Astyanax mexicanus: one gene and its partner. The protein of the gene in region 1 purifies or fractionates together with the protein of each later gene. This does not show direct contact. Links are inferred from orthologs where the notes say so. Each region holds a gene or a part of one and is shown on either strand. Other genes may lie near its edges.

Region 1 (15,958 bases):
ACAACATTAGCAGTTTATATCAACTTTATACTGACTTTCTAAATCATGATAAATATATATATTATATATATATATATATATATATATATATATCTTACTCAAAGCTAAATATATAGCTTTATATAAGTCTAGTCCATCACAGGTTTATATAGGGTCACAGTGACTAGTATCCATTCAAGAGAAAGTAAAATAATCAAATCAAACTATTCAAGAACAAAAAAGGCTAAAAGGCTTTTGAGTAAAGATGTCTCAAATTATTTTTGCTCCAGAATCCGAGTCTGATTTGATTTTGAGTATCTGTCGATACAAAATACTGATCCGATACTTTGGCAATGGACAATGAAATAATAAGGAAGTCATGCTAGTTGTAACTTAAAGATTTTTTTTTAATATATATATATTTTTAGTTATTATTGAAATAACTTAAAAGCACATGCGACCATGAACACACTCACCACAGATGAATTTAAGTGAAACGAGGGACTGGGTTTCAGTGCTGGTGTGAGCGCATTATGGTCATTCTCAATGTACACATACAGCAGTCTAAAGTGAACTCGTGGAGTAACAACATAACTTGTCCCCCAATTCCATTTCTTTGAAAATTACGTGATTGGCACAGATTTCCAATCATGCGATCGGATCGGGGACATCCCTACTTTTGAGATAATAAATTTAGTTTAGTTTCACATTATGTTTAAGTCACGTCTTATTCTTCAAACCTACTGGTTGGTTGCAAAACAAAAAGCAATTTATTGCCTGTTGTCTGATTAGTTCATGTAAACATTTTGATCTTATTACAAACTGACATTCTGCTGTAATTCAACTGTGAAGTTAAGAGCATTTAGACCCGCTCAACTTCTCCACTAAACTGAGATCTTCAGACACTTTACTACTAAAGTTACCCTTCCCAGGTACTGACCTATAATGGCTAACATGTTGTTACTGTCTGTGTTGTCCAGATTGTCACGAGTAGGCAGAAGATCCATGCTGGAGACTGAGTTCTGACAGAAAAAAAGAAGCAGATGTGAGTTCAACATAGAGATCATACTGTGATGAATTTTCTTATTGTACCTACAATACACTTTTTTAAAGCAGACCAAGGACACCATTATAACACTGACCCAACTGTATTTTTTTTTTAAAGAGTGTAACTGGTCCATTTTAACTAGATGAAGAACAGGACAATCTAAATAAAAATGTATTTTAGTACCAAAAAAAAAAAAAAAACACACACTGACTACTTAATTGTGTTCTCCAGTGAGCACACGTGCAGTGCATCATAATGAGTAAACATCTAAAGCTCAGTATTCTGAAGTAGATTGAGAATCCTCAAATTGTACTTTTCGTCTCTTTTAAATGGAAAGGTATGGAAGGTCAGTAGGTCAGTGGTTGGAATCTCTTCCTGAGTCTATGGCCATGGAAAAATTAACATATGTGTGAATTAGATACGTGTTGTAACTTTGCATTACGTTATGTGTTTGAATGATATGTTTGGTTAAAAATGCATCAATAAAAAAAAATATTCAAAAAAAGAAAAAAATGAACTTTTCGACAGGTTAGATGATTTTACAAGCATTCAAAAACAAGCTTTAGCCCACAGTTCAGACTGACCTGGGAAGAAGCTGGCAACACCAGCAGAATTTTCAGACTCTTCATGTGGACAGAACGATCCAGCAGCTCCACGGCTTTATCCAGATCATCCTGAGTGCTCAGAGGAATCACCAGCTACAGAGACAAAAGCGAAAATAAAAATGGTCTGTGATTTAAATGTGCTTACATCTTACAATAAACTTCTGATTAAATTAAAATATGTTATTCAGCATTTTTTGTAGTGAACTGATTATAAACGCTGTTTTAAATGTGTTTATTCTTTGTTTTTGTTTTTTACTGTTTAGAAGAGAAGTGGACAGGTTGGTTGGTTTTTGGGGTCTTATTGCCACTTCAGCATAAAATATATTTTACATCAAATATAAATATATTTGGCTACATATTTATTAAATTAGGTGTTTGAGGTTAAGATGCGATACGAACTTTAAGATCTTTCCGGGTGGGTTTTTTTTTCCCAAAGAGGTCTTTTATGTTCTTTTCTTGGTAGTAAGATTGTCTCATAAGGTTATAGTCAGGACAGTCGATGCGGATGTGTTTCATCGTTAGCGGGATGTTGCACGGTTGACAAGATGGTATTTCATCATTCGTTATTAAGTGTCTATGTGTTAGATTTAGTGACCTATGCGGCACCTTGCGTAGCTCGTCTAATTTGATCTTGAGTTGTGCTTGTAGATTGTCCGTTTTAACAATGGCTGAGAACTGGACAAACGTTCTAATTTCGGTACCTCATTATTGGTGTAGTGCAGGTCCATGGCCTGCCCAAACGCCACTTTAGCTTTGGTGCTGAGATCATCTAGCCTGAGGGGCCGAGGAAACTGCAGAATCCTAAAGAAGCAAAATGACATTGAATTAGAAAATATATACAAAACACATATATTGAATAACACCTAATTCATTTACACAACATACACATTTGTTAAAAAGGAAAAGAAAATTAATTAAAATAAAATAATAAATAAATTAGGGATGAACTGAATAAATAGGAACCAAAATGTTTAGCCAGATCAGCAAAAAAAAAAAAAAAAAAGCATATACAATTGCAGTGTTTAGTCTAATGTTAGGCTTTCTTGCAGTAGCAGCAGCACTTTACTGTTTCAAAGACAAAAGACAACAGGGCCATCTGGAGGCTAAAGGTTAAAAGACCATTAGATTATATTTTCTTTAGTAAATCATAACATTATCAGGATGTTTCAGCAGATTTTAAGAAAAAATGTTGAATTTAAGCACTAGCAGCTCTCGACAGCGGAGCTTCATATGTGATAGCTTCATACGGTTCATATGTGAACTGTGTGGTACATCACAGTAATCTGTGTGGATTTTAGCCTCCGCCCCCCACACTTCCCACTAGGGGTATACCATATCATATCATACGCAATAATATCGCCAACAATTTTGAATATTGTGAACAGTATTATACCCTGAAATATTGTACCATATCATCGACCCCTAATTATCACATTAAGAGTACTACTTTTTGCTGTTTTTAGCAAAATAACACTGTAAGAACACTGTTCTCATTTCCCATTATATATCTACTAGAGACAGATTATATCTGTCCAGTATAATTTATTTTACTTTAATCCTGGATATATGGAGATATATGGAGTGCATTATTAGTATCATGACATTCTAGACCATTGACTTTTGTCAAAAATCTGATAAAATTCTTCTTCCAATATCTCAATTAGGGGTGTGCAGTATGTATGCAATAACAATATATATATTTTTATTTAGTTGCAGTAATGTATTCTTGAAATCAGTTCAGTGTTTTTTTATATTGCCAAGAGTATCGTTTTCGCCAAAATACCATGAAATATCGTGATCGTATCCCACCCCTACTTCCCACAGTCCCATTTCCACACCTTAAGCTGCCTGGTATAGAACAACAGCATGCAAACAATGTGCTGCAGTCATGGAAATAGGGGAATTGTCTATTTTTCTCCTAAACAGCTAATCACCGAGCTTCAGTAAGGTTTGCCAACCAAGCTAACAGAGTCATATAAAATCAGTTAGTTCATAATGTGCAATCAATAAAAACATTGAAGTGTAATATATATATATATATATATATATATATTCACGAAGAGGTAGAACACGTCATCGCTTGCCAGTGTGTGTCAATCTGGGAAACACCATAAGCTTCGTGTCTGGTGAGGGCTGGGTGCGCAAAAAGCTCTCTCCAGTGTTTTGAAATTGGACTGCTGTAGCCATTTCACAAGCTTGTTCTCATTTAATACATTAGTAGACTGTTCCTTTAAACAAAGGAAATTCAGTCTGTCATGAACTTAGATGCTGCTGTGTCTGCATCCATTGTTTTATATTAAAAGTCCTCTGCAGGGGTTTGTGATTGCATGGGCCACCACTAAAGAATACGTTCTAAATGTTTCATTTTGTACAGTTAGAGGCGAAAACAATCATATCAGTGCATTACAGGAAATAATAATTTTCCAGCATTTCAGGAATGTCTCTCCAGGCTTCAAAAACTTTATGAATTCATTGCATGTCCCGCAGTCAGATTCCTTTCTATTACAAATTAATCTAAGTAACAGTCATGCTTTTAAAAGTTGAAACCATTACCTCTTCTCTCCCCTGTACTCGAACTTTACTCGAACATCGTTCTGCAAGAAAGAAAGTGAGATTAACACGGTCCAAAACTTAGCATTACATCAACTGATGATTGTCACTGTGGACCCTAAATGACAATATTGTTTAAAGGCATGGAAACAAAAGCTTTATTCTGATACTTCTATACCTGTCTTTAATCATTTTTCCTAAACTAAATAGGAAACACATTCAATCATATGAAAAGCTGAAAGATTTCAAAGAAAAACTCAAAATGACCTGACCTGCATGTTTCATTGTTGCACAGTTACAGTTCATTTTTCATAATTAAAGAATAAAATTAACCAAAAAAAATTAAATAATTAAAATTAACCAAAAAAAGCACATACTATACAGCACATACAAGTTTTGCAGTGCCTTGCCGTAAAATTAACTAGATCTCTTATTTCTTTGATATTCCTTTAATAAAATCCATATTTTCTGTGTTTCAGCCCATTTGTGAAGCATAATTATATGAATGAATCTGAAACTTTTCTCCAGAAGTATGTTAGTGGCTCTCCAATGATGGCAATTATGTTTGGAAAATGACAACCATACAGAAAGAGCCAATAGTTTTTTTGAATGTCAGATAATGAACAGAAATGGTGTACGTAAAATGCACAGAAAAAAAATCTGTATTTGGCTGTATATATAAACACACATTTCCTGCCTGTATCTGAACAACCACAACAGTTGGGAAATCATTTGAGGCCAGGTTCCTAAAAACAACATACATCCTCCTATTATACATTAATCCTCGGATAACTGCAAAAAAAGTTTTAGGAGGTCATCGTGAAGCTTATTATTATACCTTTCAGAAGCAGAGATTAAATAAACAAATAACTAAACTTATAAGTTTTCTAACACTTCAGCGCACTGCATCAGCACTGTGTAAAATTGTTGCTTTTCGATACTGAATTTAATGGCTTTTAAATTTCCAAACAACCAATCTACAAGCAAAAGCCCTAGTTAAAGCTGGCAAAATTGTAAAATGTAACTTGACTTTTCACCACAACTTTTCCTGTTCTAACATCTGCAAAAACTAACGTGACACAAAAAAAAGCAAACGATGATCCGCATTATGCTAAAAGCTAACACTAGCCAACGCAATAGCCTTTTACCATCTCTTCCAGTTACCTGTGTCCACTCGCTCATAAACAGACAAGATGTCCTCAGCTAAACCAAGTAAAGGTACATTTCAGCTTATTATTTACTGGTAAAAACAAAAAGCCAACAGCACCACTAGCCCGCAAAACAAAATAAATAATTACAGTGTTGTTGTTACTGTGTAAAAACTATGCTACACTACAGAAGATCTGTAAGCTTTCACAATGCCACAAACCAGTAGTAAAATCTGTGTTATTTTTGTTTTTAAAGCCACCTGTAACCATCAGCTTTTAATTCTGATGTTAAATACCAGGGTGGTAAATAAGCTGGTAAGACCAAATCTGAACATTATGCACCCCAATAAAGTCACATGATTACCATCTGTACATGAAAAAAAAATTAGCCTAGACATGTGTTTAGACATTCAGCATTTCTAATGTAGCAACATAATTGTAACATCTGTATTATGTCGATGTCCTGCAGTCTTATACCCAGAATCTATATAGAAGTACAATGTACAATAGGGCTGGGCAATATATTGTCAATATCAATACACTTAAAATAATTTCCCACAAGCAATTTATTTCCAATTAAAATCTTACATGGGTGGTGTCTGGTGAAATCGAATAGTTTCAGGAGAAATGACAGACAATGAGCGGACATCATTATCCCATAAAACTGAGTAACAACAGCATTGTCATTATTTCTGTGCTAAAAATATACTACACTACAGAAGATTTGTGGGCCATCACAATGCCATAAACCAGCCAATAAAAGCTTTTTTTGCAAATGGCTCTGTTATTATTGATAGTCTGATGTAAAATAATAGGGTGGAAAACAAGCTGGTAGGACCACATCTAAACATTATGCACCCAGCCAAAGCCGCAGGCTTACCATTTGTGCATAAAAAAAACCACCTACAAATACTCTATGTGCATTTTCCAGCATTTTTACTACCAATAAATGTTTGTCCAATCATCCAGTGCAGTCTTCTAAATAAGTGAAATACTGAGATAAATATTTAGATATTTACTATTTAAATACATCATACATTTTATTTATGGTGTTACAAATAAATGTGGATACTTTAACATTTCACTTTTAGATTTCATCATATCATATCTCGTCATTTCCCTGCAACATGTTGAGATAAGAGTTTTTTTAGTCATATCGCCCAACCCTTATTTACAAGTTTACATGAGTCAATGTTGGAGGATCAGACTAAGATATCAGACCTGGTTCTTGGGAGACGAAGCCTTGGGTTTGCCCAGGTCAGACAGAGACATGGCTGGCCGGCTAGAGCGATGCAGCTCAACCAAGTCCTGCATGATCGAGTTTAGAACCTCTTGCTCGTCTGTCAGGACATATGGGTTTAAAACAGGTTTAAAACATGGACCATGTATAAGAATTTATAAAACCTTTGTACATCTTTTATCAGGAGACATAGGTTACATACCCATGATAACTGCTCACAGTCGGCCCCAGGAGTTCAGGATAGAGGATATCTCCCATTAAATGGGTTCCTTTCTCCTGTACATAGATATCACAACTATTTTGAGTGGGTGTCATTCATGTAGGCATTTCCTTTACATACAAACAACAATTGACAAAATACCATCTAACATCATAATCGTAATAATAAAATAATACTGTTACACAAACTGCATTTAAAAGTACAATAGTAAAGTAAATCACACATCGATCTCAGATATCATCACATTGGGGGGAAACTGGTGCTACTGGCGGGTCTGTCAGCTGTCAAAATCTGCTCTACCAATGATAGCTGGCTAGCTAGCTAGCTAACCTAGCAAGCTTGTTAGCTAGCTATAGTTTACTGTTTCAACATACAACAAACACAGTGTGTGTAGGCAGTGTGTGCGCTCACATAGCTAACCACTTATCTTCATTAGATAACGAGGCCACAAGATTCCTGATAACAATGGAAATAGTGTTTTACAAGCGGTCAAAATGGGGCTTATCAAAAAACATCTTCAGCAGTTGGAGGATGATGATGAAGAGAGCTAGCTAGCACGTCCGCTTTGCTTATAAGCTAACTAGCTAAACATTACTGCGGGTGAAAAACCAGCTGTTTTGGATATTTGTCTTTAACATAATAAAGACTGAAGCATTTTACATAGTATTTAATGGGACATATGCACACGACAATACAGGGGCCAACATGACATTATCTCGTTATTAGATAGGTTAGCTAAGTTAGCTAGCTAACAACAAGATTAGCTCGCTACACTGAAGGCGCGCTAGCCATACTGTCTATCTAGCTAGCTAGCTAATTAGCTGTTAGTTAGCTTAGTTAGCTAGACAGTCTGCTAGGTACCTTCCAAACTATTTAATTAGATAATAGAGCTGGCTAACCTTGTACGTTATAGTTATATTAAGACCAAGGAGAGACAGCTAACTAACTATCCAATTTGTGCAAATATAGCTAGCTAGGTTAGCTAACTATCTCACATTTAGAGCTAGAATGCCAGCACACAAACCTTCGTTCACTTCGCTGCTATTTTATATATGCTAACTTTTAGCTACTTGGCTAGCTAGCTAACATAAGCAGTGTCTGACAGGAGAATTTATTGCTAATAGACATCGACTGACAGCTAAAAGCCTTCAGAATCTAATAACTAGGATAAATAATCAATAACAGCAGAAAATAAGAGCTATTTGTCCTATTTCTCACCTGGGTGGTTCGTGTATCTTCACTTCCTCATCCGAAGGCCTTGGGAAGTGGGGGCCCTGCCCGACTTTAAGAACCTCCAAACCCGGCTTAAGAAGTTGTAAAGTCCGCATACAACTGCAACTTCAGTCCGAGGCCCCAGAGCACTAGCTCAGCTCCGCTAACCGCCGCCACTGCCGCCGCTGTCGATGCGCTACAGGCCGAGCGATTAATCACCGAACTCGCTTCACATTCAGGCCAAAAGCGTCGTATCCGCGAGGCCGTGCCGCAAATACAGACACACAGATAACCGTTTAACGGCGTGGTTTTGTTCATATGTAGAAACCGCAGGTATCAAACACGGCTCGACTGAAGACTAATCCCGGAGCGCCGCTCTCTCCCCCCCGCGCCGAGCCGCCGATGGACCAGTCCGATCCGCTACACACGATCAGCCTGTCAGAGAGACCTGCACTCTGTCTACAGTACGGAGACCACAGCAGGACACGGGGCTCAGAGTATGTATTTATTTACTGGGTCTGGAAGGCTACTGTTTTAATGCGATTTAATATTTAAAAAATGGAATAATCGAGATTGTACATCTTGACTTAGAACCTACTAGAGGGAATCTCAGAATATAGACAAGTTCTTCTGTCAGAAACCTGTAAACACCTCTTTTAAGTGGCAGTGATTTTCATATTTTTCATATTTTTCCACAAAAAAAAAAAAAAAAAAAACTAAATTAAATGTAAAAGAAAACAATAGCTTTACTTTAAATTATGCTGTCTGTTTCCAAATAAAAAACTGAAGGTGACCACATGGTCGAATCCTGATTATGTAACTTGCCATCAGCTGCCAGAGCAGGGTAGATGGGTGATGTTGATCAGCACAAGGCATCTGTGAGCTGATGTATCAGAACCGTGTTGCTGCGCTTTCCTCCGAGAACGCTGACGACTCTGCTTTGCTACATCAGCAGCAGTATGAAAAGATGCAGTGATTAGCTTCACATGTATCGGAGGAGGCATGTGCTAGCCTTCACCCTCCTGGTGTTGTGGCATGACTGTGATTGGGGATATACAGCTGACTAGCAGCTGAATAGGGGAAATGACTGGCCTATCTAAAATTGGGAGAACAATGGGAGAAAAGACTCAGCTTTTCAAAATAGGTTTTAAATGTGAATAAAAGAATCAGTATTAGAAACACTTAGATTTTTAATATTGATGCCAGTCACTTAAAAATAATTGTATTATTCACAACAGTATTATCCATGATTAACAATGGCTGAATCATGGATAAAATCATGATTTAATTTTTTAAAATGCTGGTACTTAATTGTATTTTTTGGACAAAAATAACTGTGTAATGTGGTTTACACCTGATAGACTAGATTTATTTTACTGGATTATAATATCTCAGGGTAGTTGTGGTGCTTTTTAAACAAAATTAATGTATTGAGTTTAAATGAGCGTTTTTGTGGAGGAAATAAATGCTAGATTAGCTGCATATTCCACACTCACCAGCTTGAAAAGAGGAAACGTGCCATCAGCTGTGTGTGTGTGACCACAGTAGTGTGTGAGAAATAGAGAGAGAGATAGAGAGTATCAACATCAGCACAAATAAAAGGGTAATCTACCTTCTGAACTCAACAGAAAGCTTTGCTGTGTTATATCTCTAAATAAAACTGCTAGTGCGTCATCAGGCTCTATCACATTTTGTCACAAGATTAATTATATGCTTTAAAAAAAAGTACGCATTACAGTTTCCAGACTAACTGTGTTTTAAGTGTGTTAATGCCAGACATCCCAAGTTGCAAAAGTTGATTTCAGGGAGGTTACCCTACTACCTTCAAAAAAAAACTTCACTTTTATATTAATTAATTTTTTTTATTTTATTTTATTAAATTTAGAGTATTCAGAGGTGAAATTAGTTTTATCTTTTTTTCTTTTTGGAAGGCCCTGCCTCTACTTTCCTTTTTTTTTTTTTTTTTTTGAAAAAAGGCCTTTATTTGACAAAAATGTACAGTTACAATATCACAAAAAATTGCACAACATCAAAAACATTTCATATCATATTACAACAATTATTAATATTGCCTCTGCCATGATCTGCTTTCTCTCACTCTCTGAACAAATCCCGTCCGGGAGGGGGGAAAAACACTGCCCGCCCACACTCAAACCTGATTGGCTGTCTCACAGACTCTTTGCAGAGAACAGGCCAATCAGAATCCTCTCTGTCTTCTTTCTGTCCTTCCCACACGCGATTAGAGAAAAAAAGTCTGTCGCCTGTGTGCGCGTTTGCGTGCAGTGCGCGTTTGGGGCACTCGTTCTGAATTGCGGGAGATTATATGTGACTCGCGGGCATCAGGGAGCCACTACCGAAATGCGGGAGACTCCCGCAGCTTTAGGGAGACTTGGTTTGTCTGTAATGCTGACAGCCCTAATTTATAAACATATTTTTTAATGTAAATAAATGGGTGGATGACTAGTAAAAATTCAAAATTCAAGCAAATAATCAAACTTAATAAATAATAAAATAAATAATCTAAATAAATAAATAAATAGATTAGAAAATAAGGTAGAATGCATTAACCCTGTAAAAAGTGCTTAACTCCAGTATACAGTCAAGGGTGTCTTGCTTGGTCAAAATGTACAGTATTAAAATAAATATGGCTGAATCTAAATGATTATTTGTATTAAATTCAAATTTAAAGTACATTTTCAATGTTTAGATGGGAAGAGAGGGTCATTGTGGGTTTCGTTGAAATTGGTGACTAGTGAACCTAAATAAATACAAAATAAATGCATAAAAATGCTATATATAAGAATGTTGTCCTTTTTGGACAAGCATGCTTGTTAGCCTGATCATTTTCATGATTTCCCTTTAATCATTAGTTGTTTAGATCAGCGATTTTTGTTAAATATATTAAATATCATAGCAGACGAACACAGTGATATTTCAAAAGTGAAATGAATTTTATAGGATTTAGAATAAGTGTGCAATAATTCTTTTTGCAAAATTAGGCAGGTGCATAAATTTGGGCACCCTTGTTGTTTTATTGATTTGAATACCTTTAACACTAATTATTGGAACACAAAAATTGTTTGGTAAGCTCATTGACTCTTGACCTAAATACACAAGTGAATCCAATTATAAGAAAGGTTTAAGGGGCTAATTGCAAGCTTTTCTCCTCTTTGCATCTTCTCTGAAGTGCGGCAATATGGGAGCCTCAAAACAAAACTCTCAAATGACCTGAAAACAAAGATGGTTCAACATCAGGGTTTAGGGGAAAGATTTTAGGTGTCAGTTCTAGTTATGAATCGAAGTGACAGACCAAGAAAATTCTGAGATGAGCAGAGGCGAAGGATGGTGAGAACAGTCAGTCAACCCACAGACATCCAGAGCTCCAAAAACCTACTTCATCATCTTTCTGCAGATGCTGTCACTGTGCATTGTTCAACTATTCAGTGCACTTTGCAGAAGGAGAGGTTGTATGGGAGAGAAATGCAGAAGAAGCTTTTCCTGAGCATGCACCACAAAGTTGGAGTTATTTGGCTGTGTAGTCAGTGCAGGTACTGTGAATCTTGTTAAAGTTGAGGGTCGCATTGATTCCAGTCAATATTAGCAGATTCTTGAAAACAATGTTCAAGAATCAATGACGAAGTTGAAGCTCAAAATCTACTAAAGCATTCACTTTCTCTATTTGCAAACCGTCTGTCTTACCATGGACACATGAACATCAAGGCTTTTAGAGATACTTCTGTAACCCTTTCCAGCTTCATACAAGTCAATAATTATACAACGTAGGTCTTCTGAGAGCTCTTTTGTGCTGAGAGGCATGATTCAAATCAAGCAATGCTTCTTAAGAACAGTAAACTCAAAACTGGTGTGTGCGTTTTTATTGGGCAGGGCAGCTTTAACCAACACATCCAATCTCATCACATTCACATCTGGCTCCAATTAGCTCTTAGAAAAGTCATTAGCCTAGGGGTTCACATACTTTTCCCCATCACTGTAAATGTTAACATGTTGTGTTCAGTAAAAATATGCAAACTTACATTTTTTGTGTGCTATTAGTTTAAGCAGACTGTGTTTGTCTGTTGTTGTAACTTAGATGAAGATCAGAACCCCTTTAATGACCAATTTATGCAGAAATCAAAGTAATTCCAAAGAGTTTACATGTTTTACTTGCAACTGTATAAGAGTGTTTAGTGTTTGAGATATGAGTGTATGACATTTTATTTAAACACAATGAAATAAAGAAATAAAAAGGCTGTAGAACTTGAAGCCATGTTAGAAACAGTCACCTTTATTATATTTTGTTTGTATAACAAAACTAAACTGTACTGCATGAATGAATAAAGAACAATGTAACACTATTAGCATGGATTTGTGTCACTTCAGTCAATGAATTTGATATAAAAACACTTTGAACATGATCAAATCAAAGCAATCCAGACTGTTCTCATACAGAGTTCCCCAATGGTGGAACAAACTACCTTCCACTACCAGATCAGGAGAATCTCTCACTATCTTTAAGAGACTCCTGAAGACAGAGCTCTTCAAATAGCACTTACTCTCTTAACACCTCTAACACACTAACTACTTCTAACCTCATTTCCTTCTTCCCCTCCTTCACTCCTCTATCCTATTATTCCCCTTTGACCTCCTTTTATCCCTATCCAAAGATGTTTTACCTTTAAACTCTTTTTACATTGTACTTGACTATTGTAAGTCGCTTTGGACAAAAGCGTCTGCCAAATGTAATGTAATGTAATGTAATGTAATGTAAAAATATATTTCAACAATACAATTAGGCACTAATTACACATTCAGTACTTCATGAGAAGTAAAAAACAATTAGTAAAGTTCAGTTAATCTGCAGACTTTTCTAAAGTAAAAAAGCAATATATCTTAGTATGTAATACAGACTTATTTATTTATAAAAGTGGTAGTGTTACATCACAACTATGCACAGTAGTACAAAACATCTTTTAAATCACATGAAAATGATAAATGAAAAAGTTGAAAATCACATTAGATATTTTAGATTCTCAAGAGCATTTTTTTTCAATATTGGTCCCTTGTAGACCCCACTCCAAACCCCTCTTTCCAATGCTTTACTAACACTGCTTGTAAAATCAAAAGGACAGTATATGCCATTTTTACATATATAGGTGAATTTGCATTAGTCATCAAAAATAGTATTTTCTTGAAATATTACGCTTGGGGAAAAACAATATAAAATGTAACATTTTAAACATAATTAATTCAACAATTGTAAGTATCATAAGGCTTTGTCCATCAGGCAGATTTAAGCCATTTAACTCACCACTCAGACTCAAAAGTGAGCCCCCCAAAAAAAGGCAACAAGAAAAAGGCACAGAGGCACAGTCCAAACTAGATCATACCCACATTAGTGGCTTGATCAGCGATAAGAAAATTGGTTTGGGAAGATTATTTTTAACTGGACATGAAAAGTGCAATCTAACATTCTCAATGCTTTAATACAAACACTACATTAAAATACATATGTACACATTCAAGGCAGGGGTCTACACACGGTCAACAAACTTGAGGTTGATTGATGATCCAGGACACAGCAGGCCATGGGTTTTGGCTCGGACATCACCGGTGAGTGGAGACACCTCGATGCGAAACTTCTGAAGGAGCTGCAAATAACAAAGGGGAGGAGTTAGTGACCACAAATACCTTAAACACATTTTATAGGTGTATGGAAAAGTGCAGTCTGCTTTACTAAGCTGTAAAATCAGACAGAGGCTGCTCTATAAAGCTTTAAAAGGGGCTGTTTTTAAATACATTTCATCCTGCAGCGGTGAGATTGTGCTGATTCAGGCTAGGTTTGTATGATTTTTTTGTTGTTGTAATTGAAAGCATCACAGGAAAGGGTTTGAATGTATGATTATGTGATTATGTGCTCTGAGTTATAAAACTAGCTCCTGTGTGTTTTTTCTTCTACAGGATCCAACCAATTTAACAACACATATGCTGGGATTAAAATGTTTTACATTCCATATAACTAGTTCTGAAACAATTTATATGCAATTTGTGTTACATCATAATTTTAACCTTAAAATATTTAGTCATGTGCTCAATCATGTTGGTTTTAATTAATCTTAGTGAGATAATTTAAATTCATTTGTAACTTTTTCAGCCAAAATTTTTTTAACTGTAGTCTGTTGCATAGTTGATTTAATCTCTGCTATGGTATAAAAGTCACAGTATTGGATTACCAAACAAAAAAAAAAAAACAAGCAGGTTCTGTCTCTGTGTTCAAACACACTCACACACACACACACTCACCTGGGTAAGACTCAAGTGCATCTCAAGTTCTGCTATTCTTCTGCCAACGCAGCTCCGGATGCCGTAGCCGAACGGGATGGAGCCGAAGTTGTCCACCCGATCCAAAGCGTCTTTCCGGAGCCAGCGGTCTGGACGGAATTCTTCTGCACTGGGGAAGTTTTCCTCATCCATAGAGGTGGAGTAATGACAAAGAGCCAATTGTGTCTGAGAGAGTAACAAAGAACAGAGCAGTGTTACAGTAGATCTTCACTCTGCAGCTAAAATCAATCAGCATTCGCCTTTTACTCCAGACTCCTGATCTGGCACATCAAAGCATTCTGAGACAAACTTATAGAAAAAAGACACACAGTGTCTAATCTTACCCCTTTAGGGATAAAGTAACCACCCACGATGAGGTCATCCTGTGTGACACGGCCATTGCCAGGAAGAACAGGGAAAAGCCTGCAGGTAAAGACAGAGAGTTATTTTATTAAAATGTTAAAATATAGAGAGCAATTACATCCAACAAACCCAGCCCACTATACATTAAATACACATTAATATACTATACATTGCAGGGAAGGGTTTTTTTGTGGACTCATAACCTAGGAGGCTTTAAAAAAAAGAAAATAAAGAAAAAAAAAAGGAAGGAAGCTAAATGCCATGTATTATTTATCTACAGCAACAAATTACTACTGTGTTTACACCGCTGCTGTAAATACAAAATCATGTTATGAGCACCCCCTCATGGACAGCTGAACACATGCATACCTAAGGGTTTCTTTGACCAGTCCTCTTATGAGTGGCAGCTGAGAAATATCATCAGCATGTGGGACCCGCCCACCCAGCACCTGGGTGATTTCCTCATAGATCTCCTGTTGCACTGTGGGATGTTTGGCCAGCAGGTATGTTGCCCATGATAACGTGAAGGAGGTCTGAAAAAAGGAGTAAACAAAAGATGGTTAATCTAAAAATGCTTTGATATACATATTAACTTAATCAAAATTAGTCAAAATCAAAATCAGTATACAGCTCTGTAAAAAAAAAAAAAAAAAAAAAAAAAAAAAAAGAGACCACTTGAAAATAAAAAATGATGAGTTTCATCAAACCAAGCTGAACTGCTTGAATTTGTGCCCCAGGAGTGGCATAAAGTTATTCAAAAACAGTGTGGACTGTTGGAGGAGCACATGCCAAGATGCATGAAAACTGTGATTAAAAAAACAAAAAAACGATTTCTCAACTTTTCTTTGCATTATTTGAGGTCCTAAAGCTCTGCACCTTTTTTTATTTCAGCCATTTCTCATTTTCTGTAAATAAATGCTCTAAATTACTATATTTTTATTTGGAATTTGGGAGAAATGTTGTTCGTAGTTTATAGAATAAAACAACAATGTTCATTTTACTTAAACATATACCTATAAACAGCTAAACCTTCAGAAGCTGAAGAGGTCTCTTAATTTTAACCAGAGCTGTACAAAACTAACTACATCAGGTGTGCAAACAGCCCAACAATTCAATTTAGCTTTATACCTTAAAACAAAAGTTGTGCCCTGACTAATAATATTATTAATGTTTTGGACTCAATCTTTATGAGGTAGTCCGAATTAAATCTCCTAATTTTTCTTAAGAGATACAATAGGGTAAAAAAAAAAAAGGACAGAAAGCTCTCCGTGGGGA
Region 2 (15,118 bases), on another chromosome or scaffold:
CTGTGTAATAAATGTATACAAGTGTTTGGTTTGTGTTCACACATGGCTTACTCTATACATGGTACAGCTTTAAATTACATCGAAAAGATTGGAAAATTGAACTTTGACTGCAAGGGAACAAATTACTGTTCTCATCTACCAGTAAATATGCACTATTGAGCATACACAAAAACATACATTAATACACACACACACACACACACACAGCGAAGAAGAAGAAAGAAGCCAGGATCCACAGTAATAATTACTTACATTAATATTTTTAGCAGATGGATTTCCACCTGCATGATGAAATCTAATAATAGAATTCACATTATTTTAACACATTTTATCAAATGTGGATGAGATCCCTCTCTGACAACCTATATGCGCTGTGAGTGATTTGATCATATACTGTTTAAAATGTGTCTTGGGGGGTTTACACCGGTCAAAATTCAAATCCAAATAAGATCCAATCACTAAAAAACAGAATGCACATCAATATGGTCAAACATCTTCCTCCAGGTTTCCTCTTGGAACCAAAGGTATTATTAGGGGGGTTGTCCCCTTTTTACTGCAGCAAAAGCCTCTACAGTTCTATGAAGATTTTGCTGTGGAGAGAATTTGATTGCAATCAGCCTCACAAGAGTGAGAGCATCAGTGAGGTCAGGATCAGGTAATGAGGTTTGATGATGAGTCCTGACACTCTCTGTCGCTTTTCTTAAAGATGAGGATGGAGCTCTGGACGGAGCTGTATCACTTCAGAGAATACAATTCCACTATTTTAAAGCTCTTACTGCTTTTTTAACCAGCTCACAAATGGCACTGGGCACACTGACCTTACAGCCATGTGCTCACAGCTGCTTAAGAGCAGCCCTTTTCTACTGGTCAGTTTGTCTATATGTGAGAGCAATAAGAGCAACAATTCGAATTACAGCATTTTTCCTTAATTCTATGCAGTTTAAACAGAAACAAACCCAGTTTGGTGTAAAACAATACGCTTCCTCTAGGAAAGTTATACAATAAGTGATTACACTCAAAACACAGTTTTAGTAGTTTTTAGAAGATTTTGGGCCTAAAATGTATTTGTAGGAGTGGTGAAGGGATACATGCAGGGTGCGCAGCAAAACTAGCCTCCAAAAGAAAATTCATTTGTTTACACTGTCCAAATACAAACTTAGAAGAGACACTTAGGTAGGTTTGGCTAGCAATTAAAATGTCTACACTTGTGTTATTGTCATAGACTGTGACGCATGGTTCCATTTCATCTGGATACTTTTGGAAGTGTAGTGTATTTTCTGTAGGCCACTGAAAAGCTAAGATGTGGTTTAAGTTTAAGGTGCTGCTGGACAAGAATAAACCTAAAATCGTACATATAGGTCGGTGCATTCATGTAGGTCAGTACTGATGTGTTTGAATAAACCTTTTTGGGGTTTTTTTTGGCTTTTTAGGGTGTTGAATGAGAATAGTCTTAAGTCATGCCTGTGTGCACATAAATAAGTCCATGTGGTAGATGGTCACTACTGGTCACTGATAAATGTGTTAAGCATTATTTCATTAGGTTTTACCTACCATAAGGAACCAGTATTTTAGTGAGTGCTTCCTTAGCTGTAAAATATATGTAAATGTACAGAGCCTCTTTTAAAGTTCTAAGAACCTAAAATAAGGTTCTTTACCAAATAAAGGTAAGTTAGCTTATGGACAGGAACCCTAATTTATTTCTAAAGAGTTTTGGTAATGTACACATTTGGTAAATGAACTGGGTTTATAAGAATCTCTATTTGGCCTGTGAACGTGGTAAATTACAGTGTGTGATTATGTGCACGATAATAAATTCACACAATTTAGCATGATTTATGAGTACATGTTAACGCTAACTAACCTGGAAAAAATATATTTCCAGCATGTAATTAGGACGGTTAGGATAGGTTATGCTGGCTAATAAGCATGAACTGCTTCAGACCTGTCACTAAACTGAACTCAGTGCAGATTTAAGTGTTAAGAAGTATTTATAAGGATAAAGTCGTGAAGATAATTTGATATAATACATTTAGCTATTGAGAACTTTCACCGTTTTGTCTCGCGTGATGCAGGGCGAACCAGCCTGACCTGTGTGTGTGTGTGTGTGTGTGTGTGTGTGCGTGTGTGAAACACCCTGCGCTGCTGCATTTTGTGTAACCTAGTAAACTAAAGCAGAAACGAAGCCTAGCTGGCTTAGCTAACCTAGCGTTAACTAACGTTACCTGTCGCTAGCTATTAATCAATGATCCCATCGATCAAAAAAATGGGGGGTCGGCTGAGGTAAACGGCAGTTTTATATAACAGCATCATTTCGAGGCTGACGGGGGAGGTAAAAATAGATTTTTGGAACTGTTTTTGAAACAGAAAAAAATCCAAGTCACAAACTGTCTGTATGTACGTTATATGTGTGTCTGATGCAGTATATATTGTGGTTATATTGCCTGTTTAGGTGTATTTTGGTGTGTGATATTGTGTCTATATGGTGGTGTCTGGTGCTGTCTCTCTTACCTTCAGCTGATGAGGAGATGCTCTTCCCGGTTCCTTATTTGGCGATATGTGTAAATCCAAGTCCCCAACTGCACATATATACCAGTCTGCTGCAGCACTGGGGTCCTTCAGTCAGTTGATAAGAACAGTAAATATAGTGATAAACGGTGTGGATACGGATCTATTCTCTGCTGGTTCTGAGGGGAGGGAAGCGCTAACGGCCAACCGCTGCTGCAGTGGCGGCAAAAAAATGGGGAAAATGATGCTAAGCTAAAAGTTGAAGCGATGCTGAATGGACGAAAGAGGCTGGGGAAAGTGGCCGCGGAAAGCGACAGCGAGCTGTTAAAGCGAGTTAGAGTGAGAGGAAGTGAGGCGCGGAGAAGCTCTCGGGAGGGTTATGAGGTCCACACACTTTTATATCTAATGCTTTCGACAAAAGGACGATATAAAGTGGGTCTCATGTAACTGACCGCACTGTTACTCGCTTTCCCACCCGATTTTATGAACATCCCGCCTCCGCACGACTACGATTGGGTGGTGTTATCCCGTCCCCGCGCTGGGATTGGCTACTACCTTATATTCGGAAGCCGTCTGCCTATCAGGGAAGACAACCTGCTAGCCAATCCGCACAGGAGGAGGGGAGTGCCATAAAACGGGTGGAAAGTTAGTAGCAAGATTTTTTTTCTCTTCAGTATTTGCCAAGTTTAGAATCTCTATAAGAACTAAGGCCACTGAATTTTTTTTTGCATCAGCAGGTCTTTTACCCACTATTTATGCCCTAATATGGACAAATTCCTCTTCAGTATGACACTGTGTGCTGTTTGGAGAGGTTTAAACACAGTCTTTGCCACAAACTGCGAGACTTTTTAGAACAAGAGCAGAGCAAACACAACAGAAAAACACTATTTTGAGTCATATGAGTATAAAATTATACATGTATATTTATACATGTATGTTCTCTGCATTGCTGTTTGTTTGTATTTTGCTGACTATTATTGGACTGGAGTATTACTACTTCTACAATCTTTAGCAACTCAAAGGGGTCACATCCAGTATGGTTGTCTTTAAGAAGGCCTATCCTCAGCTCTTTTTATCTGAAGGCTTAGCAGACTGGGCACTAAAAACGCTAAAAATACCCTGTCATTAAGTCATATGTAGCTCTGGTAATGTATGATGTGTTGGTTATGATATAGTGGAGGTCCATTATGGAGAGAGAATGTGAAGTTAGGCCATTAGATGATAAAGTGGACATCTGTCGTGTGTCTGTTTGGGCTCCCAGCCAAACCTCCTCCACTATCACACCTCACACAGTTGCATTAGGAGGTGTGAGATGAGACAGACACACAGCTAAACATGTGTGTCAGCGCCATCTCTTTCCATTGAGACTGTAGCTGAATTGAAACAAAAATGCCAGACAGGTGCCTAAGCACAAAGCTTTTGTGGTTAACACTGTTTTATGATATATAATCATATTTTATAGTACAGGTATTTGAAAATAGTTAATAACATAATTAGTATTATCATTAATATAGTAGGGCTGTTTAAATTTAAGAAAATTGTCCCTAAAAAACTATATGGATATTTCAGACAGTTTTCTTAAAATATCTATTTAGAGAGAGTCAGTAGAAGGTCTAAAGCCAAATCACATTTGATATCTTGATATAGTATAACAGAGGATGCTAAGATGCTAAGAATGCTGCTAACAAACACTGGGTTTAGTCTGTCACCAACTGAGATTGGGATGTGAAAACTATATGTATGTGGTCCAGGGTTAGGTGTGGATTGCACATAATTGTGCAAGGATGGGGCGAGGGTTTGGACAAGGCCTCTATAAGACCTAGGATTAGAAAAGGCATTGTGCCTAAATATGGCTTGGGATTGTTTTTTAATGTGGCCTGGAATTGATGTCTTTGGTACCTAGGATTGGGCCTGGATGTGGCCTCTTTGTGAGCCTGGATGTGGGCTGGCACAGGATTAGCCAGGATTGGGTTGTATTGACATGCCTGCCGAGAATTGTGAAATTATCTTTCTTTTCTAATTTTAATGTGTAAATATTCTAAGATTATTTACTTATAAACATAAACAGTAGTTGTATTGTGTATTATGTCACATGGACTCAACATAGATTGAACTGCATTTCTACTTTTACGTATTGAGGCTGCAGTTTTTCTTTTTTTTGTCCTTCAGAAGCCAGAATGCACTGAATACAGCTGACAGCCTTACCCTGTGTCTTATGTGCAGGATTTGACGTACGTTTGTTCCATTAGACGCTTCAAGAGCTGAGGGGTAAAAGCACTTAAGGGCAACTTGAGTGCTGCAGTGTCGTGAACAGGAATAAAAATCATGCTCCTATTCAGTGGAAGTACTCAATTAGATCAGCTAAAGGCTTTCTGCCTTCTGTGTTAAGCAGGTGAAGCATTCATTTCCAGCCTTATATATATTTCTATACCTCCAAGCGATCACCAGATCCCATTCTGGGAACCACTGAGCAAAGGCAGACAGTTGACGTGTTCCATTGTTCAGATTCTTCTGGCTTTATAAGTCACAGAAATGTTGGACCCTTCAAAGACTCCACCCCAGCAGCAAACATTCTCCAGTCCCCATCCATTAAAGCTGTTCCCCCTCCAGCATGAGCATCTCCTGCTCTCACACATTCACGCTTGTTGTAACACTACAGAAACCATGTGAAGGAGATTGGATTGGCTCTCCCAGTAGCTCTCAGTTCTGACCCACATCTCAGCAGGAGTGTTTAATTAATGCAGAGTCATGTGATGCTTAATTTCTGCAGCATGTAAGAGTAGCATTAATCCTGCATTTGTCATGAGCTTCAAATAAATGTTAAACTGGTTCTTTTAAAAAGATATTTAAGCGCTGAATACAATCTGCACACACAATAACAGATCAGGCCTCTGGTTTTCCTAATGCAGTGTGTATCATTAATTTACAGTGTCAGTCTTAGTATAGCAGAGCCTTTGTTTCTTTGAACATATTTAAACATTTAGACCTGTCAGTATCGGTATAATTTATAACAATTTATAAAGAGTGAGATCTGACACATTTGTCCAACACACTAAGACAAATTAAATACAGATTTGTACTTAAAAGAGTACAAAGCTTGTTGCGGTGCTGTACCTTATTTTGAGGTAGAACATTCAGTGAAAGTCTTTGTGCACTCATGTTTTTGTACCAATAAAAATGATAAAGAATATAAACATTATCTTCAACTGAGTATGTGTCAAGAACTTCATGACCCAAAATTATCTGGCATTTTAAAATGAAAAATGTATAATAAAAATGTATATTGTTTATTAGTACAGTGATACAGAATACCGAAAGACTCATGGGCACTTCTCCTTGATGGAAACAAAGTGAGAAAGTGGAAATAGGTGCTGTAGGCAAGAAGCCATGCGGAGGAAATGAGCTATCTGCAAGTACGTTCTTGAGGGTGCACAGGGTAGCTTTATCACACTTTTTGCTTAACAGTGGAAGAGATAGTGATTGGAAGCTGATAATCCTGCAGCAACATTTTTGTACCCTTTCCATTTTATTTAAGTTATTTGTCCACTTCAGATTGACCTAGCATACTCAAGAATTGGATAAATAAGTGTTGTGTATATGTATTGTAGATACATAGATAGATAGATACTTTATTGATCCCCGAGGGGAAATTCTAGACCAGATCCCCCAAGAAGGACCACCACCATCACTCCCACATACTGACCCCAAAACCCAAAAGTTCAGAGCAGCATGAGAGCAACGGGTACATCTGGTTTCTCCCAAACGCTAGACATCACATGATGACATCACTGATTCTTTTGGCATTACTAAGACTTGTATGCTTTGTCTTGTCTTTAAGATCATTTGATAGGACATCTTACATTTATTACTACTAAAATTAGATTAAAATGCAGCACATTAGCTGCAGATGATCAGACCATGATCAGAGAGGGCAATATTTCGGTTGAGGTGAGCAGTTTAACCATAGTCACATCCGAACAGCCCTCTGAGGCCTTAAGAAAGAAAGTTTTAGATGCAGATGAATCTGGCAGTATATTTACAAAGATCTCAAAACAATTAAAAATCACTCTTTCCACTATCCCCTAAATCATTTCCAGGTAAAATTGCTAATAAAATGGCCAGGGCATGGCATCCGAGCTGCTCAAGAACAGACCCCCCAAGTTGCGTAAAAAAAAATCTCAAAGAAACCAAACATTTAATCACAAGACCCACAGATAGCTCTCACCTAAGTCAGTGTTAAAGGGCAGCATCTACTATCAGAAATAAGCCAAAAAGTCATGTGAGAAACTTTGCTGCCCAAAAAAATAACACATTGGCATATTAACATAAGGCACGATAGGTGCAAACCTAGCACAGCATTTAAGCACAAGAACCAAAGACCAAGTCTTTGCATGGAAGTGGAAACATCATTGTTTGCTGCTGCTTTGCTGCAAGGAGGGCCTGGCAAATTCCATATTTTTTATTTTTTTAGCCGGCATGTACATATTTCGTTAAAAAACAGACTTAATCATTTTTTATTTACATACAGTAAGTTATATAACATAACCATAAACAAACTCTCCAGTAATTAAACGAGAAAAGAACACGTATGCTTTGATCGAACAGCGCCCTCCTCCGACTGGACCTCCACAAAATGTATGAAAACACATTTAACAGGGATGTTTAACTTATTCCACTAAACAACACATTTAATACAAAAAAAAACACAATTTCTTTCACAGATTCATCTGTTCAAAGGACAGAAATGCAGTTAATAATAAAATTGTTGATACAAGATGACAATATTTTCGTTCACTTATTCAAATGATACATTTTAAATATCTACATACTACATACTACATAATATTTATTTCACCTTAAGAAACGCAACCTCGGACTATTCAGTCTTGCATATTTAGAAACATAGCGCGATGTTGAACTGTGGGAGTTGTATTCCATTTTCTGCTCGCATCTGCAACACCTTATACGGTTACACAGCTTACTTACTACATTTCCCAGAATCCTTCGCGCGTGGTTGCGAAAACGTTAGAGAAAATGAAGAATTTCTCCGCAGAGTTCGCTTACAGGTGAGAATCTTTAGTTTTGTGGTAAATGTAGTGGTAAATACTTGTATAGAAGATAAAAACGGAAGAATGTTAGAGTAAACGTCGTTTTAATGCGCAAATGTGTGAGAGAACGGAGTGATGGCGAAAAGTTCCCCCGCGTTTGGAAAGAAGCCTCTCACGAGCTGCTGTTAGCTTAGCCTAGTTAGTGGCGAGCTGTAGCAAAAACACACGTTTATACAAAAACAGCAAAAACAGATTACGGGGTGGGTTTAGTTTATAAGTTGTGCTTGTAGTCGATCTTTTCACGCTGCTGTCGGTTTGACTGGAAGAATATTTACGCATATCTGACAGTTGGAATCGCGTAGCTTAGCTTAGCCAGTGCTAACGCAGAAAATAGATTTATATTCTGATCTTAGTTTTGGGTTGTTTTAACCCGGATTATTAAAATTGAGACTGGAGACCGACAGTCCGTCTCTTTCATATAAAGCGCCAGACTGTTATTTTCTTTAGGTAACGTTACTTATAAAAGGTTGACTTTTTGTTTGACAATGAGAAACTTTAGCCTGAATTGTAGCTACGTTAGCTGAGTGGTGTTCAGATGTGTTGTGTTTATGCTCTTACAGCCCTCTCTGTATGACTTTTTTGGATAATTCAGGTTTACTTCAGTAGCTAAATTAGATGTCTATAGCTAATGTATGTGTAATAAAGGTGGTTTCATTGCGACCTTCCAGCTGATAGAAACACACTTTAACTATATTTATTTTCCATTATAAATCAGGAAGAAACATAATTGATAGCTGGTTCAATTGGATGTACTTTAAGGTGTTATTGCAAATGTGTATCATGTAGTTTCAATAGGTTCCTTCATGATTTGCTGAGGTGCTTTTTTCCCTGATTTGGAAAAACGCTTCACAAATCCATCTGAAAGGAATTTCACCAGTGTCACAGTCAGAGTGGGGTTTGGAGTGAAATTAGGCCTCCTGACCTATAATGTTAGTGGATTTTTTTACAGTGGTGAAACGTGGAACCAGGCTTCACCAGGGCTACCACACAAATATAGCAGTTTTGTCTACTTTTCAAACCCACCAGTGAAACTACACTTGTCTTCTGAGTTTTATATGGATGTTGATGATTGTTAAATGTGGGAAAATATTTTCTTCAGTAAAATGCAAGGGACTGCTTTTGTTTTCACTATAATAATGTTATAACAATATAAATAAATATACAATATTAAAGACATGTATTAGACCAAGATCTCATGTATCAGGCAATGTTATTCATTTAATAACAATCTAGGAGGGAGCTTTTAGAGGTTTAGAGGCTTGGTTCCATTACCTGCCACTGCAAACAGTTATGACTGGGTAAGTTTCTCTAGAAGGGAGTGTTTTACACCAAACCCACTCCGAAGGATTTTAGTCACATTGTTTTCATTGAATCATTTAAATATAAAGGGTATTTTTCTGGGTAATGCTGATATGTGTGTGGAGATCTCATGTTCAGAAATTTTCTTTGTTTTTCCCCTCATAAAATTATTTATTTGTTTATTTATTTATTTCAGCATCTTTTATGCCTTAGAATTAGGCAGACTAAAAGAGTCCTGTTCTTGTTTATGCTCTGTGAAAATGAGCTCAGGCTAAAACTGTCTTAATAATGTTAGCAGGAATTGGTCTGGCTAAAGTGCTGTAGACTTAATAGATAGGCTTGTAAACTTGTGTATTAAAATCAGGTTGTTTTGCAGCATTATGTTAAATATACATATATTAAATAAAGTGTTTACATACTGTGTATAGCAGGATATGTTACACTCAATTTACACCTTCAGGATTAAATAATTCTCACTTTTTTCGGGTGTGTTGTTTGTGAGAAACTGATTAGTTCCTTGTGTTATATAATTATTTCTGTGGTTTCCTTCATTCTGGTTTGAGTAGTGCTGGCAACACCGCACCTTAGGATGAGCTGTTTGAAGCGTGTTGTTTAGTGTTTGATTACTGGAAACTACTGCTCTGTCTGGCCTCCTGAACCTCAGCCAGCTGAGTCACAGTCGCTCTAATCCATCTTATATTTGCACTTCACCCAAATCTGTTACCTAAATCTGTACAGTCGAGCATTACCACATCTCTCAGTGGCTGTAGACTGTTAGGTCTGCACATTAATTTATTATTTACTCCAATCATTTTTTTTGCATAGATTTCTCATCTAACCTGTCCAAGATATAAGCAATGAACTGTGTTATACCAAAGGCACCACCACAACTCTATCAAAGATAGTACTCACGTAGCAACATCCTATCAACCATGGCGATATGGAGAAAAAAAAAGAAGATCTTATCAGGATATAGTTTTCCATGTCAGTGGATATGGATATTTATCATGATATAAATCAAATCACTTTCTGTCACACTTAAATGTTATTTTTACCCATAAGTAAGAGAATATAAATAAAAATATAAAACTTAAATCCTGTATATTCAAAAGGTCAAATGTTACAGAATAACGAAGTAAACTAACTGTAAACTAAATTCTGTTTTGTTGAAATTCTGGTCAGTTCCAAATAAATAAATGCTTATTAGCATCATATTTAAGCATCCGGCAGAACGCGTTAAAAGAATGGCCAAGAAAGGCGTTTAATGTAGCTATATTGCTAGAACTTACAATGATTGCTGTTGGCACTCTCACCACCATACACACACACACACAGAGCATGAGCACAGAGCACTCACTATCTCACTCACTCACTTACTATCTCACTCACTTACTATCTCACTCACAAACTCTATTCAAGCTACATGATTGGTTCAGCGTGGCGCTAATCCTATTCTCATTAGCTGTTTCCATTGTCTGTCTGAAACGTCCCCGGAACGAGTCATGACAAAGTTTTATTGACTTTTTTTTCCCCCCGAAGTTTTATTACATTACTATTAAGGGAAAGTTATTTTGCAATAATTATCATTATCATTTTATTGCACAGCACTACTATTAACCATGTATGAGACCATCACAACCACCTAGCAGGCCTATAAGTGTAATCTGGGACAGTGAGATGGCTTAGCAACACCCAATTAGAAATGTGGTGATGTCGCATCAAAGTAGCCAATTAGCAATGCTCAGCCACCATGCACGGTACCAATTAATTTAGCACTTTACAGTATTAAAAAATTAAATAATGTGAAAAGTGAGTGTATCTGACTGTATGAGGTGGGAGTATCTTTACAGTGTTTAATGCTGTATTCTGTTTGCAGGCTGTGAAGGCCCTACTCTACATGGCTTTGATGGATTATGAACTCCGGTAAAGCGTGCTACAACCGTTTTTCAGGAGGATTGCCCATTGATGCCACTGTTAGTAGTTTATCTGATGTCAGTAACTGGGTGAGAAACACAGCGCTGTTCACGTCAGTAACGAATACAGTGGAGGTGTGAATTTATGGTACTTTTTAGAAAAAAAAAAGCGTATTATTAAGTAAGACCATAAGTTATTTTAATCACACCAATGTCTGACTGTTTGTGATGCTTCATGCAGACCAGAATGGAATCTACTTTTGGACCCACGTTTTCTGCAGTCGCTCCAGTCAGCAAAGGTAAACACAAGCTGCTTGGCACTGTATTTATATTTCTGTGAATATGGAAACAGATGATCTGCTAGGTCTGCATTGTAAAAATGAAACACTGGCTCAGCTTGTTATAGCTTATTTAGGTGATTGATTATCTTTACATCAACAGCAACATATTAGAAATTGTTGCATGTAGATAACTTGAACTTATAAAACAGTAGTGGAGATTGACCCAGTTCTACCATTGATCAGCCTGAACGCCCTCGGGCTGTGCAGTGAGATTGATCCATTGTAATAACCATGTTGTGAAATTTCAGCCGAGACGACCGGTAATTACAAACAGCACCGCAGGACCCCTTCGTCCTCCAGCACCCTGACCTACTCTCCACGGGACGACGATGATGGCATGGTAATCACAGTCCAGCTCTGCTGGAGTCCACTTCTTAACACTGCCTATTACTTTAACAGCGTGCCTGTTTACCAGAACCAGATGAAGCCAAAGACTATGCTTTGAAGAGTTTTTGGTGATGAATCAACACTGGTTATAAAATTTAACATACAGAGTCAGTTTAAATGTCTAAATGTATAAGATATCCTTACAAAACAACAGACACTTAACATCTGTGGTGTGAGTTGGAGTGATTCCTTTTAAGATGTTTTAAAGTGCTGAAGTACTTTTGGATGATTTTTGTATGTACTTTATTTTCAAACCTGATCAAAATTACATACCAGCACTGAGGTTTTTTGTGGCTGAGTGCAGTCAAATACTGCTCAAAACATTTAGCGTAAAGCTTGTAATTTTAGATTTCAGGTGCAGTTCAGGAGGAACTTGAAAATATCAGGTCTCTGGATGCAGTTGGCCATTTAGAGACAATTTCCTAAATGTAAATTTTAAAGTAAATTAATAAAAAAGTAAATACAAGAAGAAGGTTCTATGTTCTGGACTATTGCAGATTTCTGTGTGGTTTGTAATGGAACAATGACAGATTATGATCTGGGCAATAAATTGTTTCTTTATCGGTCAATAATCTGAATTTGATAGTGAGTTCTGTAGCCTGACACTGATACAGATATACAGTATACAGTACATTGCTCTGCTCTGCTCACACTGTGTGTTCAGCAGAACAGGTGAAAAAGCATGTTCAGTCCATATGCTGCAGTGCAGTGGGCATTCGTTAGTTCTGCTGATGAATTGCTTTTCTGTTTTTATCGTTCTCTGATTACTGCTGAGGTCTGGCTCTACCTGAGAGACCAGCAGGCTGTCCTCTTCTATCCAGCCAGCTGCAGTGTCCAGATCTTACTGCTTCCTGGCTGAGGACATATTTTTTAATAATTATGTGAACAGAGGAATTCAGGAATTATTGTTTTTACAGCTAAACATCCTGATTTTGTGTGTTTGTGTGTGCGTGCGTGCAGCCCCCTATCAGTACACCACGCCGGTCAGACTCAGCCATCTCTGTTCGCTCTCTTCACTCGGAGTCCAACATGTCACTGCGCTCCACTTTCTCTCTGCATGAGGAAGAGGAAGACACGGTCAGTAACACCCTCACCTAAAATACGCTAAGTTAGCAAAAAGTCTACATCTGCAACACCACATGATACAATACACATGGGGTAAACTGACTCAGTATTAGTATCTGATGTTCCACCCATCTGTCCTATTGTATGATCAGAATAGCTCATAATTTCTGTTGTCATCAATTTCTGTAGCAGTTCATTGCATGTTGCTTTTACAGTTAATTTTCTATATATGGACAGCAGACTACAAAGAGAAAAAGTGTGCTTTTCAAAATTTAAGGCGCAATTTTCCAGACAGAGATTTAGTCTAGTGAAACCTCACTGAGTATACAGCGTTTTGAATGAAGATTTGAGACTGTAAGAAAAGTAAAGTTGGGAACTAGGCTCCACCATTTATATAAAATGCATTTAATGTGCAGTTAGTCACACGCTGCTAAACCCACCCCTGCTTAAGGACCCTCCAGCCAGATCGCCAGCACACACAGCTGTCCTCTGTCTCTACATAAGGTTAATTGAGCCTTTTACAAAACGTCAAAATCAGCTGTCCATGGCAAAAAACAAATGTATTTTTTTTTTTACTCCCACTCATTCTTTCCATCCCCCTCTCAGGAGCCACAGGTGTTTGCAGAACAGCCATCAGTTAAGCTGTGCTGCCAGCTGTGCTGCAGTGTTTTCAAGGACCCTGTCATCACCACCTGTGGGGTGAGCATTCCACCCTTAAATTCTGGATACAGCCCACATATTGATTTCCTGTCAGTTTTGACCCGTTTCCTGTGGCTGTGTCAGTGACGACTGCAGCTCGGAAATTATTTTAATAACATTTATTTATGTAAATAAATTAATGTAAACTTTGTATGTAAATAAATTTTGACAATTGACTAGAAATACAACAAATAAAAAAGAAACAAATACACTGGTAATTTTAGATTTACCAGTGCTCTACTGGAGAAAGAGCAGTATTTCCACGCATCATTTATTTTTATCTATTAAGTTATTTAAGAAAGTGTATTTGGTGTTTATTTAAAGCAGTTTTCTGCTGCTTGTATAAATCAAAAATATAGCTTTTTTCAGTCAGTGTGATAAGGTTTGTTCATTTAAATTACCAAAAACCAAGATTTGATATTTGTGTTGGTGAGTTTATTAAAAAAAAAAAACACTAATATCTATAATGTCTGATTCAGGATTTAATTAATCCTGTAATGAGCTGGTTATTGTGATTATGAGCAGGATTCTTAATTATAACCCATGTTAAAATCAGTCTCTTTGTTTATGTTCCTACAGCACACCTTCTGCAGGCGATGTGCTTTAACCTCAGGTAGGAACATTTCTGACCTCTCCAACCTCAGCAGTCCACTTGAACCACTTCAACCTTCCCTTCCTCATTTCAGTGTTAGTCGTCAGTGAAGGGGAAACATCAGGGCCTCACTACTTCCTGTTAGAGTTTGTCCCCCCAGTTTAGTCATTTCCAGTCCTCTCTACTATCTACCCTGTGCTATCTGTGTTGTAAAGGGGGACAGCTAACAGCGAGACAATAAAAATGTTACTTCAGAATATTAGTATTTGCATTATTGCACATTGTTGTGATCAGAGTCTGTTTGCTGCACTAGCGGGTCTGATATCCACCAGTCACTTTCCACAGGTAAGTGCAGGTCAGCCTGACTGTGTATTTGTGTGTGTGTGCAGAGAAATGCCCAGTGGACAACTCAAAGCTGACCGTGGTGGTGAATAACATCGCTGTGGCTGAGCAGATCGGAGAGCTGTTTGTCCACTGCAAATATGGCTGCCGGCCCTCAGCCTCGGGCAAACCAGGAGCTTTCGAGGTCGATCCACTGGGCTGTCCCTTCACCATCAAACTCAGCACCAGAAAGTGAGAACATGATTATGCTCCTCTTTGTCTCTTGAACCCATTTCTCGTCAATCTCCAGATCATCGCTAGTTTAGTAAATGGATGTGGTTTATAAAATGGTGTGACCTTCTTTAGTCCAGGACCACAAACTTCTCCATAGAGCTGAATGCTGGGAGAACTGGAACCACTTTCACCTCAGCACAGTGTGCGCGATCACTGTACGCGTTGTGCTGCGGGCTGAAAGTCAAAAAAACTCACAAAAAGGGAAGTTTTGAGGATAATAGTGTATAAGGTCTATCTGTGCTGACATTAATCGCTTTTCTTATTATGTTATTTATTACTGGTTAACAGGCTGTTTCAATGTAATCAGTCTACTGTAGTTCAGCAAAGCAGTCTTACTCTGATTGTCAGTCATTACTAAAATCTTATTACCTATATTAACTAGAGGGTAGTTCTTGAGTTGAGCTTCCTCTGGTTCTACTTGTTTCTGCAGTGAAACATGCCTTTTCCTCTCTCTTACAGTCACTTCAGTGCTGGAGGCCTGGGCTCAGGGTCTAACTCTAACATTTGTGTGTGTATGTGTTTTTGTGTGTGTGTGTGTTTGTACAGGGATCATGAGGGGAGCTGTGATTACCGTCCAGTTCGTTGCCCAAACAA

Evidence for each region.
Region 2: the proteins of map3k2 (region 1) and traf7 purify together in Homo sapiens (affinity purification with mass spectrometry; 3 studies listed by BioGRID and IntAct, with this or other methods). This does not show direct contact. The link is inferred for Astyanax mexicanus from reciprocal best matches to the Homo sapiens genes MAP3K2 and TRAF7.

Annotation. Positions count from the first base shown.
Region 1 is NC_064412.1:37,837,993-37,853,950, forward strand, and holds the start of map3k2 (mitogen-activated protein kinase kinase kinase 2), read right to left. Parts: upstream 8,443-15,958; 5' UTR 8,009-8,442; intron 6,847-8,008; 5' UTR 6,777-6,846; coding exon 6,773-6,776; intron 6,671-6,772; coding exon 6,552-6,670; intron 4,227-6,551; coding exon 4,186-4,226; intron 2,434-4,185; coding exon 2,334-2,433; intron 1,726-2,333; coding exon 1,612-1,725; intron 1,002-1,611; coding exon 920-1,001; intron 1-919. Other genes in the region: cytochrome P450 27C1, read right to left, coding at 13,534-13,650, 14,303-14,506, 14,665-14,743, 15,053-15,216. UniProt on the Homo sapiens protein: Component of a protein kinase signal transduction cascade. Regulates the JNK and ERK5 pathways by phosphorylating and activating MAP2K5 and MAP2K7. Plays a role in caveolae kiss-and-run dynamics.
Region 2 is NC_064426.1:13,726,746-13,741,863, forward strand, and holds the start of traf7 (E3 ubiquitin-protein ligase TRAF7), read left to right. Parts: upstream 1-7,430; 5' UTR 7,431-7,571; intron 7,572-10,788; 5' UTR 10,789-10,825; coding exon 10,826-10,960; intron 10,961-11,066; coding exon 11,067-11,124; intron 11,125-11,414; coding exon 11,415-11,506; intron 11,507-12,513; coding exon 12,514-12,630; intron 12,631-13,224; coding exon 13,225-13,317; intron 13,318-13,896; coding exon 13,897-13,930; intron 13,931-14,298; coding exon 14,299-14,482; intron 14,483-15,070; coding exon 15,071-15,118. UniProt on the Homo sapiens protein: E3 ubiquitin and SUMO-protein ligase that plays a role in different biological processes such as innate immunity, inflammation or apoptosis. Potentiates MAP3K3-mediated activation of JUN/AP1 and DDIT3 transcriptional regulators.